2 linked regions of the Ovis aries genome follow. The protein of the gene in region 1 purifies or fractionates together with the protein of each later gene. This does not show direct contact. Links are inferred from orthologs where the notes say so. Each region holds a gene or a part of one and is shown in the gene's direction. Other genes may lie near its edges.

Region 1 (7,229 bases):
AGTCTCGTCGCTTAAGGAGCAATCCGGGTGGGCGTCGGCGGGAAGCTGTGCCCTCAATCATCTGGGGAGCAGGCCAGGGGCAACTGATCGGGGCTGCCCACGCTGCCGGTACTGGAGCTTCCATCGCCCAGGTCACGAGGACCGCAGGGGGGCAAGGCCAGCTCGGGTGTCGGCCCAGCGCCAGAGCCCCCCGAGACGCCGGAGCCGCCTCGGGGACCCCACTCTTCGCCCAGCGCCAGACAGAGCTCCTTGAGCGCCAGGTTCTCCCGCAGCAGCTCCTCCTGGCGGCCTTCCAGCTCGGCCAGCTTCTGCCAACAACCGCCTAGATCCTCGCGCACGGCTCGGGATGCTTGGGTCCCGAAGAGCTGCCACTGGCGCGCGGCACGCCGCCCGCGCTGGCGCTCCGAGTCCAGGAAGCAGCAGAGGTCGCGCAGCTCGCGGTTCTCGGCCTGTAGGCGCCGGTTGAGCTGCTTGAGCTCGCGGATCTCGCCCAGGTGACCCTGTAGCTGCCGATTCACCTCCTGCATGAGGCGGCCGCGCTGCACCAGAGCCGCCAGGCGCGCCGCCTCCTCCCGCCGCAGGCGCCGAACCAGCTCCTCCTTGCCCAGAGCCGCCATCTCTTCATCCGTCAGCTCCTCCAGGCCACCCGTCTCGGCCTCCATGGCTGCCTAAGCCTCTGGAGCATCGCCTGCCCGCCGCCGCGGCCCAGGAGCCCCACGACTACCTCCCCGGCGCTGGGGCTCAGGCACCCGCTCAGTGGACAAGCTGTGGCGGAGCTAGCGTAGGATGCAGCGCCCGCGAGGGGGCGGGCACGCGGCGGGGCGCGCGCCGGGGCGGGGCCCCATGACGTCAAGGACAAACAGCCAATCCGGGCTAGCGCCCTCGGAAAGGGGCGGGGTCCAGGCTCCCAGAATGAAGCCCTTCCCTGCCCACTTCGGACCGCGGTGTTTCTGATGCTCGCTGACTCTGGGTATCCGTGTCCCCGTCCTCGGTGCCAGTGAGCCCTAAACTAGGCTCTTCGTACCTTCCAGTTCTAAACCGCATCAAGCTCTAGCCCAGGCCTCTCGGCTCCCACTGAGAACCAAGATTCCAGTGTCGACCCGCGACTCTTCCACCCACCCTCTGACAAAATCCAGACGGATCGCCTTTCCATCCTTCCTAGCTTTGCTCGAACTGTAGAGTCTCAACTCACTGAGCATCGCTTTCAGTCCTTGGAAACTGAAGTCCAAACGTCCTGGCTCACATCATCAGCCTACTCTGAGCACAGACCGTTTCCTGTCCGGTGGGAGGGGCATACACGGATCTGTTTGTTCAGTAAACTTTTATTGTGTGTAAGGGCTATGCAGAAATAAACTTGAGTCATATCCTTATACTGTCCTTAAAGAGGTCTTGATCTGGCAGAGGCGACAAGCTGCGATGAAGAAGCAAATGGAGGAAGACCACATTTTGAGGGGCTGCCCCCACCCACAAAGTGCGTGCTAAGTCGCCTCAGACGTGTCAGATTCTGCGACTCTACGGACTGTAGCCTGGCAGGCTCCTCTGTCCATGGGGATTCTCGAGGCAAGAATACTGGAGTGGGTGCCATGCCCTCCTTCAGGGGAGCCTCCCGACCTAGGGATGGAACCCACATCTCATGTCTCCTGCATTGGCAGGTGGGTTCTAAGGCCACCTGGGAAGCTTTCCCCAAAGAGGTGCTACCTGAGGGAGACCCCGAAAGATGTATAGGACTTTGGCGAGTCATGAGAGAGCTATTTGAGGAAGAGAGAATAGCACGATGAAAGTCTGGGGACTGAAAGAGCCTCCATGCTTTAGGAACAGCGAGAGTAAACTGGTTTTTCGTGTTTGTTTTGGAAAGGCAGTTCTTAGAGAAAGTGGTAAGAGAGGAAGGCAACAATGGCAGTCAGAAGCCAAATTCTTAAGGGCTTTAAATACTAAGATGGAGCATTTACACAGACCAGTAAGGATTTCAGCAGGGGAGTAACATTTTTGAAAATACATTTTTAAAAAAGGTTGATTGGGCTGCTCTGTGTGGGATGGACCACAGGGAGGGGATGGACCACAGGGAGGGGATGTAGGCAGAAAGATTACTGAGAACAATGTGTCAGTGGGCAAGGAGAGCTATGCAGGACTGGGCTTGGACACGGCAGTGGGGGTGGAGAGGACAAAACAGATACTAGAAATATTCAGGAGGCAAATCAGGAGACTTGAATGTGGAGAGAGAAGAGTCTGGGAGAAAGCCCAGGTTTCTGGTATGAGAACAGGGTGGATGTAGGGGCTGTTCCTGAGATAGGAACCCGGTTGGGGGTGGGGTGCGAGGTGTGTGTGTGGGGTGGTGGGAACAGATCAGGAAACCAACAGGTCTGGCTGCGGGGAACAGAGTGGAAAGAGTTACAGATTGGTGGCCGTCTGGATGTGGACTTCCAGACAGAGCTCTAAGCTGTATCAGGGAGATCACTAGTTGGAGGGGTGGCGGTGGGGCAGTTGGCTTAAAACCATGGGAGTAGGTACCCCATGTTCAGGAGAGGGGCTCATCTGCAGGATGGACTCAGGGGCCCTCAGTAAGGGCCCTTGAAGACGGGCCAGACAACTTTTTTTGCATAAAAAAGATTCAGGATAGAGCCCTGTTGTTTAGTCCCTCAGTCGTGTCCTACTCTTTCACGACCCCAAGGACTGCCCAGGCAAGAATACTGGAGTGGGTAGCTATTTCCTTCTCCAGGGGATCTTCCCGATCCAAGGGTCGAACTAGCATCTCCTGTATTGGCGGGTGGATTCTTTATCGCTGAGCCACCAAGGAACCCCATAGAGCCCTGTGGAGCTCCTACATTCAGGATACAGGTCAAAGTAGTGGGGCTCCCCGCAAAAGGGCACAGAACAACCAGGAGGATTTGAGGGTGAAGGTTGCCGGCATAGGGGCAACTAGCCAGAGGCCTTGGCTCTGGATGCCCTCCTGCAAACCCGGCCGGCGTGAGGGTGGGGTGGGCTGGGCTGGGCTGAGCTGGGCTTGGAACCGAGGAACCCGAGACTCCCCCTCCCGCTGGGAGGAGGGGCTACCCAACCGTCTCCGCCTCAGCCTCTTTCCTCGCGGCTCCTGCCCAGACTAGCTCTGTCCCGGAAGTGGTCCTCTTCTGGCTCCGGGTGCCGGGAGACGAATGTCAGTGCTCCCGGAAGTGGCCCGGCGGCGGCGCGCCGGGCCCGGGCAGTGCTCGCTCCTGCTGGGGCGCTGCGGTAGCGCCCGGGTCCGGGCGTCGCCATGACCAGCGAGCTGGACATCTTCGTGGGGAACACGACCCTCATCGACGAGGACGTGTATCGCCTTTGGCTGGACGGTTATTCGGGTCTGTGGGGGGCTGACTGGGGTAGCCAGTCTGGCGGAGCGGTTGTTTTGGATGGGAGAGGGGGCCGAACCAGGACTAGGCATCCTATAGGGCAGTGGGCAGAGGCCTGGGAGTATGAAATGCCTGGGGCTCGGGGCTGAAATCCCTGAAGAACCTCTAGGGCCGGCGGGGCGGGGCCTGATGCCAGCGCTCGCTTCCCAGTGAGCGACGCGGTGGCTCTGAGGGTGCGCTCGGGAATTCTGGAGCAGACCGGCGCCACAGCAGCGGTGCTGCAGAGCGACACCATGGACCACTACCGGACTTTCCACATGCTCGAGCGCCTGCTCCACGCGCCGCCCAAGCTGCTTCACCAGCTTATTTTCCAGATCCCGCCCTCTCGACAGGCGCTGCTCATTGAGAGGTGCTCACCTGGCGGGTGGTGGGGATGCCGACCAGTCTGACCATGTATCCATTTTGCAGGCTGTCGAGGAGGCCCGGGGACGGGCGGGACTTACCCAAGCCGGGAGAAAGTTGAGAGCAGAAGGGGCCAAACCCAGGTCCTGCCAGCTCTCCTCTCCCCTCTTTTTATGGAAAGTCAGTAGGGTCGTCCCCAACTCCCCACAGGTATTATGCCTTTGACGAGGCCTTCGTGCGGGAGGTGCTGGGCAAAAAGCTGTCCAAGGGCACCAAGAAAGACCTGGATGATATCAGCACCAAAACAGGCATCACCCTCAAGAGCTGCCGGAGACAGGTGGGCACTGCACCCATCTGCAGCCCGCCCCTCTGTGCCGTCCCTTTGGTTCCTGCCTCACCTCCACCCCACTCCAACACTTCTGTGGCAGTGCCTTCATTTCCACTCTCCTCTCTTTTTGCCCCTTCCAAGCCATCCCCTACTCTTGAGCCAGAGTGACCTCTCAGAAGCCTACATTTTTACCTTAGCTTTCTTCTGCTCACGAACTTTGAATGGCTCCCATTCTTTCCTATAGCAGCCACATTCCTTGGTCTCGACCTTCAGACCCTCCTATCATCCTGTCCCTGCCTCCTTCTCTAGACTCCCCAGCCCCTGGCTTTCTTTTGCTCATCTGCCCCTACCTGTATTATTTTTCCAAGGTATTATTTTAGGACATATATACCCCTTGAAATCTAAGGCAGGGTCAGGGGTTGAGGGGGGTGGTCATATACCACCTTCTCCAAAAGCCTTGCCAGTGGTTCCAGGAAGAAGTAACCCTTCTAGTGGGCCTTTAGCATTTTCCTCTGTGACTCCTTTGAGCTCCCCAAGATGGCTTAGTATTTGCTCTTTTTCGAGTTCCTAGGGCTTAGCCAGGAAGGCCATTTTCAGCACAAACTAGTGAAGAACTAGAGAGCATGATGCTAAAATAGGGGTGAATTTATTGATACGAGTGAGTAAACATTTATCCAAGGCAAGATGGTAGAAGCTGGTGAACATTTGGGGAATTGATAAGAGATATTAATAATTAATGGGGCTTTCCAGGTGGCATATTGGTAAAGAATCCACCTGCCAGTGCAGGAGGTAATAGTTTGTTGAAGCAATAACAAATACTCCATCAGTGTCTGGTGATTGGATAGGTGGGTCAGTGACAGAGGGATGCTCACCAAACAGTTTATTGGGTGAGCAACCTGACCAGTCCTTCCTCCTCCTCTAACTGCCCTGCAGTTTGACAACTTTAAGCGCGTCTTCAAGGTGGTGGAGGAAATGCGGGGCTCCCTGGTGGATAACATCCAGCAGCACTTCCTCCTGTCCGATCGGCTGGCCAGGTGAGGGGCCAACTGCCTCCCCCTCCTGCACACTCCTTCCTTGTGCCCTGAAGCTGACCTTTATTTTCTGCCCCAACCCACATGACCTCCATGCTGTAGGGGGGGCAATGGTTATCCCTCTCTTGGGCTGTACTTTGGTTCAGACTGGCCTGGGTTCAAATCCTAGCCTGGCCATTCACCAGCTGGACTGTTGTGAGGTGCCATGGGTAAAGCTCATGATGGCACAGCCCTTGGGGCTTAGTAAGTACTCAGTAAATGGTCGCTGTTACCCTGTGGTCTCCCACCGTGTCCCTTAGGAGACCCAGGCTGAAACCTTCTCTTTGCCCAGAGGAGGAGGCCCAGAGAGATGTGACTTGAAACCCGTCACACAGTGAGTTAGGGTAGAGAGAGGCCAGAACACGGAGGTCCCGCTGATATTGTAGCTGAGAGCTGCTTGGTAAGAAGGAATTTCAAGCCTTGATGGACACCCCACCCCCCGCTCCCCACCCCGCAGGGACTATGCAGCCATCGTCTTCTTTGCCAACAATCGCTTTGAGACAGGGAAGAAAAAACTGCAGTATCTGAGCTTTGGGGACTTTGCCTTCTGTGCTGAGCTCATGATCCAGAACTGGACCCTCGGAGCCGTCGGTGAGGCCCCCACTGACCCAGGTGCAGGCCCCCGTTCCCAGCAGCCTTTCTTCTTCAGGGCCCCTGCCCAGCCGCTTCTGCTCATGGCCCAGCGCCGCCACACACAGCTTCTCTGCAGACAAGGGACCCACAGCGTCTCTCTGGCTTGGGGCCAGTCCCTCCAGCTCTCTCACACCCAGCGTGCTCTTTTGTCTTGTGGGATGCCATGAAGTGGTAGGGGGGAAGGCTCAGGTTATCACAGGAGGCATTTTTTAATCTCGCACCTCAATTCCCTTCATGGGCCTCACTTAGACTCCCAGGTGGATGACATGGACATGGACTTAGACAAGGAGTTTCTCCAGGACTTGAAGGAGCTCAAGGTGCTTGTGGCTGACAAGGACCTTCTAGACCTGCACAAGAGGTGACCCTAGGGGTCTGTGGGGCAGGGCCTGAGGTGGGCGCCCAGGCGGCGCGGGCCTTGACCCTATCTTCCTTCAGCCTGGTGTGCACTGCCCTCCGGGGGAAGCTTGGTGTCTTTTCGGAGATGGAAGCCAACTTCAAGGTCTGTGGCCCAGTCCAGCCTCTGTCCCTGGGGCATCTTCAGCATCCAGAGCCCTGCCCCACAGTGGCTCTGCTGTTGGCCTTAGGCGGTGCTGCTGTTCCCTCTGCCTGCCCCTGGGGGGAGCCAGCTCTTAAATGCTGGGGAATTACTTGATTGAGGGAGGTGGATAGATTTGGTCTCAGCCCCCAGCCTCTCTCAGACAGCAGGCAGAACTCCCAGGCTCCCTCCCCCACAGAACCTGTCCCGGGGGCTGGTGAATGTGGCCGCCAAGCTGACCCACAATAAGGATGTCAGAGACCTGTTTGTAGACCTCGTGGAGAAGGTGAGTTGTCCTGCTGGCTGCCCTCTGACCCCATCCTGGCCTGTCCCTGGGCTGTACCAGTGCTGGATGTTACCTTGGACCCACAGTTTGTGGAACCCTGCCGCTCCGACCACTGGCCGTTGAATGATGTGCGTCTCTTCCTGAATCAGTATTCGGCTTCGGTCCACTCCCTGGATGGCTTCCGGTGAGAGATCTCAGGCTTCCTTATGTGCTGGCCTCCTGCTGGGGCCCAGCCCTCCTGCAGACTCTGAGTTCCCTGTTCTTTGGCCCTGGGGTTGGAAGTCACTCTGTTGACCAGAGTCTCAGCTCCATCACTGAGAAACTGACCTGATCTTGACAAGTTCCTTTCTCTCTGTGTGCCTCCATTCCTTCAGACATAAGCTGGGGGTGACAGCAGTAAGGCTTATAGGAATCCTATGAGGATTAAACGAGTGATGGTGTTGAGAGCACGTGGAGCAGGGTCATGCGGATCCAGTCAACATCAGCCAACACCCTAACTGTTACCATTGCAGGCACCAGGCGCTCTGGGACCGCTACATGGGCACCCTCCGTGGCTGCCTCCTGCGCCTCTATCATGACTGAGGCCCCTCCCCCCGCCCTGGCCACACTGACAATAAAGTTGCCATGACTTTGGAGGAGGCTGTGAGTG
Region 2 (6,756 bases), on another chromosome or scaffold:
AAAAAGACCACATTGTCCAAAATAAAGCTCCCTTCTCCCTTCATTTTCCTTCCCAAGAGGCAAGTGCTCTTAATAGCTATATTGTCTCTCTTTGCAAAGATGTTCTATTTATCCTTTAAAAAAAAAAAAAAAAACACCACAGATATACCTTTACTTTTTAACACGACATATTTGAAGATGGGAGCAGATAGATTCTACATGTATAAGCTCTCTTTGTGGACATTTCATATACAGTTGCTACCAGGGAGTTCCATACTGCCAAGATAATATGAAGGTATAGAGGATAATTTTAGTCATTTTCTTGTTTTCTTTTAGCTTCCCCTCCCTTCTTCCCATCCCCACACAATAAAACTAGGGTCTCTAATGCTGACTGTATTTTCAGTGAGGCTGTGCTGCCCAGGACCTCTGGGAGTCCTGGAACTCCCCTGGGATATGTGAGCCTGGGGTGGGCCACTTACTTTCCCAGCTTGTGCATTGGATCAGCTGTTGCTAGAAATTGAGTGTCAGTTCTGTTTAGTCTTCCTGCTGTAGGTCCTGTCTCCTCCTGGGCTTCCAGTACCCCTCAGGATTCTGAGGACACAGGAGGACACTCCCTTGAAAACTTCACGATGGTCAGGGCACACCCAGTGTAATCCCCCCACAAGTCTTTTTGTGAACTTCTCCTCGTGATCCCTTTTATTGACAGCTGTGTATCGTAAGAGGAATGTTGATCACTGTACTCTCTCCAGTATTAGCTCGTGGTCACTAGCCTTAGGAAAAAGGAGGTGGAGTGGGGACGGGAGATATGTCATTGCCCCCCAGTTGGCAGAAACATTCTGTATAAATCTGATTTTTGAAAATTACAACTTATACAAATTCAAGAATATTACCCCCCAAATCACCATATGACACAGAGACAAAAATATTATATATTTACTTATTTACTTAGTTTATAATTTTTTTAAAAATGGCTGACCAAATTATTCTTAGTGTTTTTATGAGTTATTTCCATCTTGGCAACACTATATCCTCAGTTATGAGATTCTTAGAAATAGAAATTCAAATATGCTAGTGTGGGTAGAGCCTGAAAATTAGAAATAGATGATGAAGATTTTTTTTTAATGTAGTGCTGTTTGAATTTGTACAGTTCCTTAAATATCTGTGATAAAAATATAAACTTTCAGGAAGAATTCAAGATGTTGCTTGTGTGAGCTTACTAGAAAGGAGGTTATAGTTTGGGATTCCTAGTTATTTCTGTGAAAAGTAGTCACCTTTTAGTTCCATAAAGTCATGATAGTTTCAGAGGAAGCTGTTGAAAGGGAAAGCTTTGAATGAGGGCATTGGTGGTAAGGTGGGTGGGGCGGGGCTCATGTATGGTGTGCGTTTATCTGTGAGACGCAGGTCACCGCTTTGTCTGTAGCTCTTAATCTTACTGGCTTTCCCCCCCCACACATTTACCTTCCCGCTTCATTTCAGATTTTCTTCCCAGTACATTGACCCTTTTCTCTGTTCAGATTTCCCACATTCTGCTTCCCTCCCACTAACATTTGTTACTGTGTGGATATTTTCTAACATGTAGAGTTTCTGGAACTTTCTTTGTGTTATAATAACAAGTAATCTTTCTTGACATGGTGTTTATTAACCGAGCTAGTTTTCATATATCAATAGAAACTGCCATTTTAAACCTAGGTACTTTGATTTGGTTTGCTTTTATAATGAGGCCATAAAAATTTTCTCCTATTCATCTGGTTTTTAGAGAGTATTAACCAAGAGCAAAGAGATACTGGCTTGTACTTAGCATCCAAGCTAATGTTGTTCATATTGTCTTACTAGAACACCTGGAGAGTGCAAGTTCTAACTCAGGTATACCAGCTGCACAGAGAGGTGAGTTTGTCTAATTAAGCAAATAGTCACCAAAGGTGTGAAATTCTAGCGTGGTGGAGCATAAGCATACAGACATTGAAGAAATGCACTGGACAATGGAATAGACACCAAAATGTGGCTTTATTGTAGTTAGATTGTGTAATTCAAATATTATTTATGCCATCTAGCATTTTAATAGTGTCCCAGTTTCTAAAGATAAGACTTCAGCTTTTAATATTATTTTTTAGCTCAACAGTAGTAAAAGATACTCTTTTGAAAAGAACTTGTTGGGCTCACACTTGATCCTCACTCCATGTTAATAGAAGCTTTGTTGCCAAAATCAGATGTGGAAATAGGATATTGATAAAAATGACCCTTTGGCTTCCTTGTTACTACTGGTAGAAAGAAGATATTTTGCAAAAGATAAGTTAACTAGTGATTTTTTTTTTCATGTATCCTTTAACATTTGATTCTCATTTATTTATTTATTCATTTTTTTTTAAGTTTCAGAGCAAAAATAGGTCAAGGAATTATTCACTAAGTTCTGATTGTAAATTAAAGTCCTAAGTATAAACAGCTAAAACAGTGTAAAATAAAAACAAAGGAAAGGAAGTTAGTTAAAACGCAGCACGTGACCCTTTCCTTGATCTTGGTAGACCCGCTTCTGTTCCCTCCAAGAGACCACACAGCTCTGACATCACCAGAGATGCTCAGCCAACCGACAAGTTGGTTTTGGACAAATCAGTGTCTAAAGCTTGATTCTTTACTATCTCTCTCACCTGACTTGAAAAGGACCACCTTTCCCCCTAAGTTACAGTTAAATTACATCATCGAGAGGAGTGTTGTGACGAGTAAGAGACGTCATCCATATTTTTTCTTTGTTTTTTCTTTTGTTTTCTGTCTGTGTTTTCAGCAACGTCAGTTGATTACAGTTCCTTTGCAGACAGATGCAGCAGCTGGATAGAGCTCATTAAACTGAAAGCTCAGACCATAAGGCGCGGATCAATTAAGACAAGTAGGCGGATGTTTCTACCACGTTGTGATTTGAGAAGCATATCCTTGATTTCCCAGTGGTGAAGGCTGGCCCTGACTACTCAGTAATAACATTGCCAATCAATCATGTGTTGGAGTGTGAAAGCTGCAGATGCTAACCGTCATTTAGCAAAAGCTTTTGAAGGGCCTTTAGATGTTTAAATTGCAGCTGCAGGGTTGTGTTTTTAGGATTTTATTTTGGTGAAGGTATTCTTAGACGTGTATAAATAGATATTAGGTCACATAGTGGAAGGAAATAAATGAGCTTTTATTGAAGAGACTCGGTGGTATATGGTATCCGTCAGATGACTAAGAGTAATGTCTAGAGTGAGAACAGAAGGTATCTCCAGAGAGAAAGTGGCCAGCTCTTATCTCACTGCTAGACTCAGCAGCAGGACTAAGATTTTTTTTTTTTTTAAATCTATACTCCATGTGTTTTAGTAGACTTTGAGGTAAATGTATTTGAGTGGAAGAGTTGACATTAAAGGGAAGGAACTGTATTTAGGGGGAAGCCCACAGGCTATGGAATCAACCAGGTCTGGTTTTGAATCCTAAAAGTGCCATTTTAATGCCTGTGTGACCTTGGCAAGTTATTTAAGTTTTGTGAGCCTCAGTTACCTCATGCGTTATATGGGGATGATAACACCTATGTCGCTGCATTGTGAGAATTATAGACACACACACGTGTGTGTTTGGTTCATGGTAGTTATTTGATAAGCAGTAGGTATTTGTTATTTTATGAACAATTAACTTTTAGACAGCCAAGGTCATTTGTTAAATTTTTTAAATTACAACTTTGATTGAGAAGGTTTGGGAAAAAAACCTGCTACAACTAGTTAAGATAAGGTTTATCTACAAGTTGACAATGATGAAGTCGTCTGAAAAAAAGATGGAAAACACTGCCCTGGGAAATGGAACAACTTTCACACTCTCGTAATAATTTGTTCCTACAGCAGATTTTTTAATGCTCTACCGCTTTTTCTTTGTCTTCACTTTATAACGATCACTGTGTGTGTAGCTACACCGCATCAACATTTTCTTTTGCAGGAATGCCATTTTTCTTCCCAAAGATTCCATTCCAGCATTTCCGCTTACGTTTTTCTTTCTCTCTCTTTGTAATTGCATGCAGTGCATGGTAATTTCTTTTCTTTCATGACATGGCTTAGCCTCACAGACAGCTGAATGTTGTCACCACTTATTTGGAAACACTAGGGAATCATTGAGTCACCAACTTGTGATCTTGATGCTTTCTCTTCTCTTTCCAATTTTAGCAGTGACAGTTGAAAAAGCAAGTCCAATGGGTGAAGGAAACTTCCGGAATCGTTCTGCTCCACCTTGTGCAAATTCTACCGTTGGGGTTGTTAAGATGACACCTCTTTCTTTCATTCCTGGAGCAAAAATAACAAAATATCTTGGTATAATTAACATGTTTTTTATTCGGGAAACCACTTCTCTACGTGAGGTAACTTTATAGTTGTTATTTCATTGTGTTTGTGAATTTTTGGTGGTTGAAAGTATTAGTATCAAAACCAGACATGTTTCAAATTGTTTGGTTTTTTTTTGCCAAAAGTAACACACACACGCACACGCACACGCACACTTTTTTCCATAGCCTGTCTGGATTGGCTGTAGATGAGGCTCAGATGGTAAAAGTGTCTGCCAGCAATGTGGGAGACCCGGGTTCGATTCCTGGGTCGGGAATATGCCCTGGAGAAGGAAATGGCAACCCCACTCTAATATTCTTGCCTGGAAAATCCCATGGACAGAGGAGCCTGGTAGGCTATAGTCCATGGGGTTGCAAAGAGTTGGACGTGACTGAGCGACTTCACTTTCGCTTTCAGTATTATCACAAGAGTTGTGTTGGGTTTAAATTCATTTGTTATTAGAAGTTACAGATCCTTATCAGATGGTAAATTTAAAAAAAAATAAATGTATCCATGTTTGATAGAGGTTTAAAACAGCCCTGAGCTTAGTTTCTCTGTAGGTATTTGCCTGAGATGGATTTAAATGGCAATTTTTAAGAGTCCACATTAAGAAATAGTAGGGGACTGTATCCTGAATGGATGTCTTTGGAGATTTTTTTTATATCATTTGGTTCTGTCGTTTTCTCCTGACAAAGAAGGAGGCTGCTTGTTTTCTCCTCTAGCCATCAGTGTTACTTGTTCAAGTGCCTACCTCACAATGGGTATCATTAAACTTTAATTTGTTTTTTAAGTAACAGCAGTTATAATCTCTTGCTTGGTGAGGTCAGAATTAAGAATCAGAGTCAGCCTATTATATCTTGCATTACAGAGGAATTTAAACTCAGGAAAAGATGATATTTCTATTTGTCTTATGTTTCTTGAGCAGGGCTGCTAAGCAAATTAATATAGTGAGTAGGGAAAATTTTTAATTATTTAAGTGTGAAACCCAATAAACTCTTCAAAATTGACTTTAGCAGAAGTTCGTATTTTTTTAAAGTGTGTTAATTATAAACACAACTTAATTGTGTTTTTTTCCCCCCGTTGTTTCACCAGCAGTGTTTCTATGCCTTCTTGGAAATAGCAGCCTGCTTACTAACCTCAGCCTCACCCTCCTGCACCTAGCATAGTGCCTGGTGCAGAGGAACCACAAGCCGTTTTTGTGTAAATGAGGGAGTGAATTCTGACAGATTAATTAATTAGATAAATGTTTCCTTTAAGAAAAATTATTTTTGTAATCATATTCTAATTGTGTTGAGATGGAAAAGAAACTATCTCAAGATATTCTAAAAAACCTTTTAATGTAGAATTAAAATGGGCAACACTTTTAGATCCATTGAGGTTTGACAAAGAAATCTGGGTTTGAGAAGCTGTCATAGATTGGTGAATTAACCTTTTCCAGTTGCACATGGATATTATACTGTCAAATCCATAAAATTTTCTTTCCAAAGTGTCTTTTCAACTGCTGAAGCAACCATACCCTGAAATGTTGCTTCACAGATTTCCTTTCAACAGAGATTTATAATACCAGCTATAATGTAGTTAATAGTATAATATGTAGTATATGCATGCATGTGGGCTAAGTTGCTTCAGTTGTGTCTGGCTGTTTGCAGCCCCATGACTGTAGCCCACCAGGCGTCTCTGAAGATGAGACTCTCAAGGAAAGAATACTGGAGTGGGTTGCCATACTCTACAGGGGATCTTCCTGACCCAGGGATTGAACCCACGTCTCTTATGACTCCTGCCTTGGCAGGTGGGTTCTTGACCACTAGTACTACCTGAGAAGCCTGTACATAGTTTAATACCTGAAATCTGTTCATTCCTTGTTATTTGCTTTCAGTTATGTAATATTAGAATTTACCCCTGTAGTGTCTGTTACTCTAAAATTTTTTGACTTGATATGTAAGAGGAAAACTGATTAAAGCAGAAGAGAAGACTGTCCTGGACTGTGATTGAGTCAGAGGCAGGCTTGAAGCAACTCCTTTAATTCCTTAATTTCAAACTTTATGTAGGAGCCTGTAGCTTTTCAGAAAGATGTGACCTAGACAAATGCTTTTTCTAACAGTGTATTAAATTTTGCCCTTCCAATTTAAAGTTGGAAATTTCTTCCTAGACTGTAAAAAACCTTCAGTAAAATTTGTGGAAAATTTAGATTGTAAAGCATTTTGAGCTATCAGCTGGCCTTTGGTTTCTGTCTTGTTTGGCTTTGAACACTGCAAAAGTTCCCCAAACTGTTGGGTTTCTTTCCATGACAAATATGTGCAGATCACTGGGCACAGGCGCCTGTTGAAATAGGTGTTAGTGTATATGGCTGTGAGCATGGCAGATGCAGCCCCTGGCATGGTGGGATTTAGTGGACAGTAAATAATCATCATGTGGTGAGAACATGGCTCTTAGTAATATAAGTCATATAAAGAAATAC

The links.
Region 2: the proteins of FIBP (region 1) and C2CD5 purify together in Homo sapiens (affinity purification with mass spectrometry; 3 studies listed by BioGRID and IntAct, counting the BioPlex papers as one, with this or other methods). This does not show direct contact. The link is inferred for Ovis aries from reciprocal best matches to the Homo sapiens genes FIBP and C2CD5.

What each region holds. Positions count from the first base shown.
Region 1 is NC_056074.1:40,435,307-40,442,535, reverse strand, and holds FIBP (acidic fibroblast growth factor intracellular-binding protein), read left to right. Parts: upstream 1-3,154; 5' UTR 3,155-3,250; coding exon 3,251-3,335; intron 3,336-3,536; coding exon 3,537-3,735; intron 3,736-3,938; coding exon 3,939-4,065; intron 4,066-4,989; coding exon 4,990-5,090; intron 5,091-5,583; coding exon 5,584-5,738; intron 5,739-6,008; coding exon 6,009-6,117; intron 6,118-6,194; coding exon 6,195-6,258; intron 6,259-6,493; coding exon 6,494-6,580; intron 6,581-6,666; coding exon 6,667-6,764; intron 6,765-6,954; coding exon of another isoform or gene 6,955-7,000; exon of another isoform or gene 7,001-7,092; coding exon 7,093-7,162; 3' UTR 7,163-7,213; downstream 7,214-7,229. Other genes in the region: CCDC85B (coiled-coil domain-containing protein 85B), read right to left, coding at 54-662. UniProt on the Homo sapiens protein: May be involved in mitogenic function of FGF1. May mediate with IER2 FGF-signaling in the establishment of laterality in the embryo.
Region 2 is NC_056056.1:193,329,948-193,336,703, forward strand, and holds part of C2CD5 (C2 domain-containing protein 5), read left to right. Parts: intron 1-1,812; coding exon 1,813-1,863; intron 1,864-2,755; coding exon 2,756-2,857; intron 2,858-4,145; coding exon 4,146-4,336; intron 4,337-6,756. UniProt on the Homo sapiens protein: Required for insulin-stimulated glucose transport and glucose transporter SLC2A4/GLUT4 translocation from intracellular glucose storage vesicle (GSV) to the plasma membrane (PM) in adipocytes.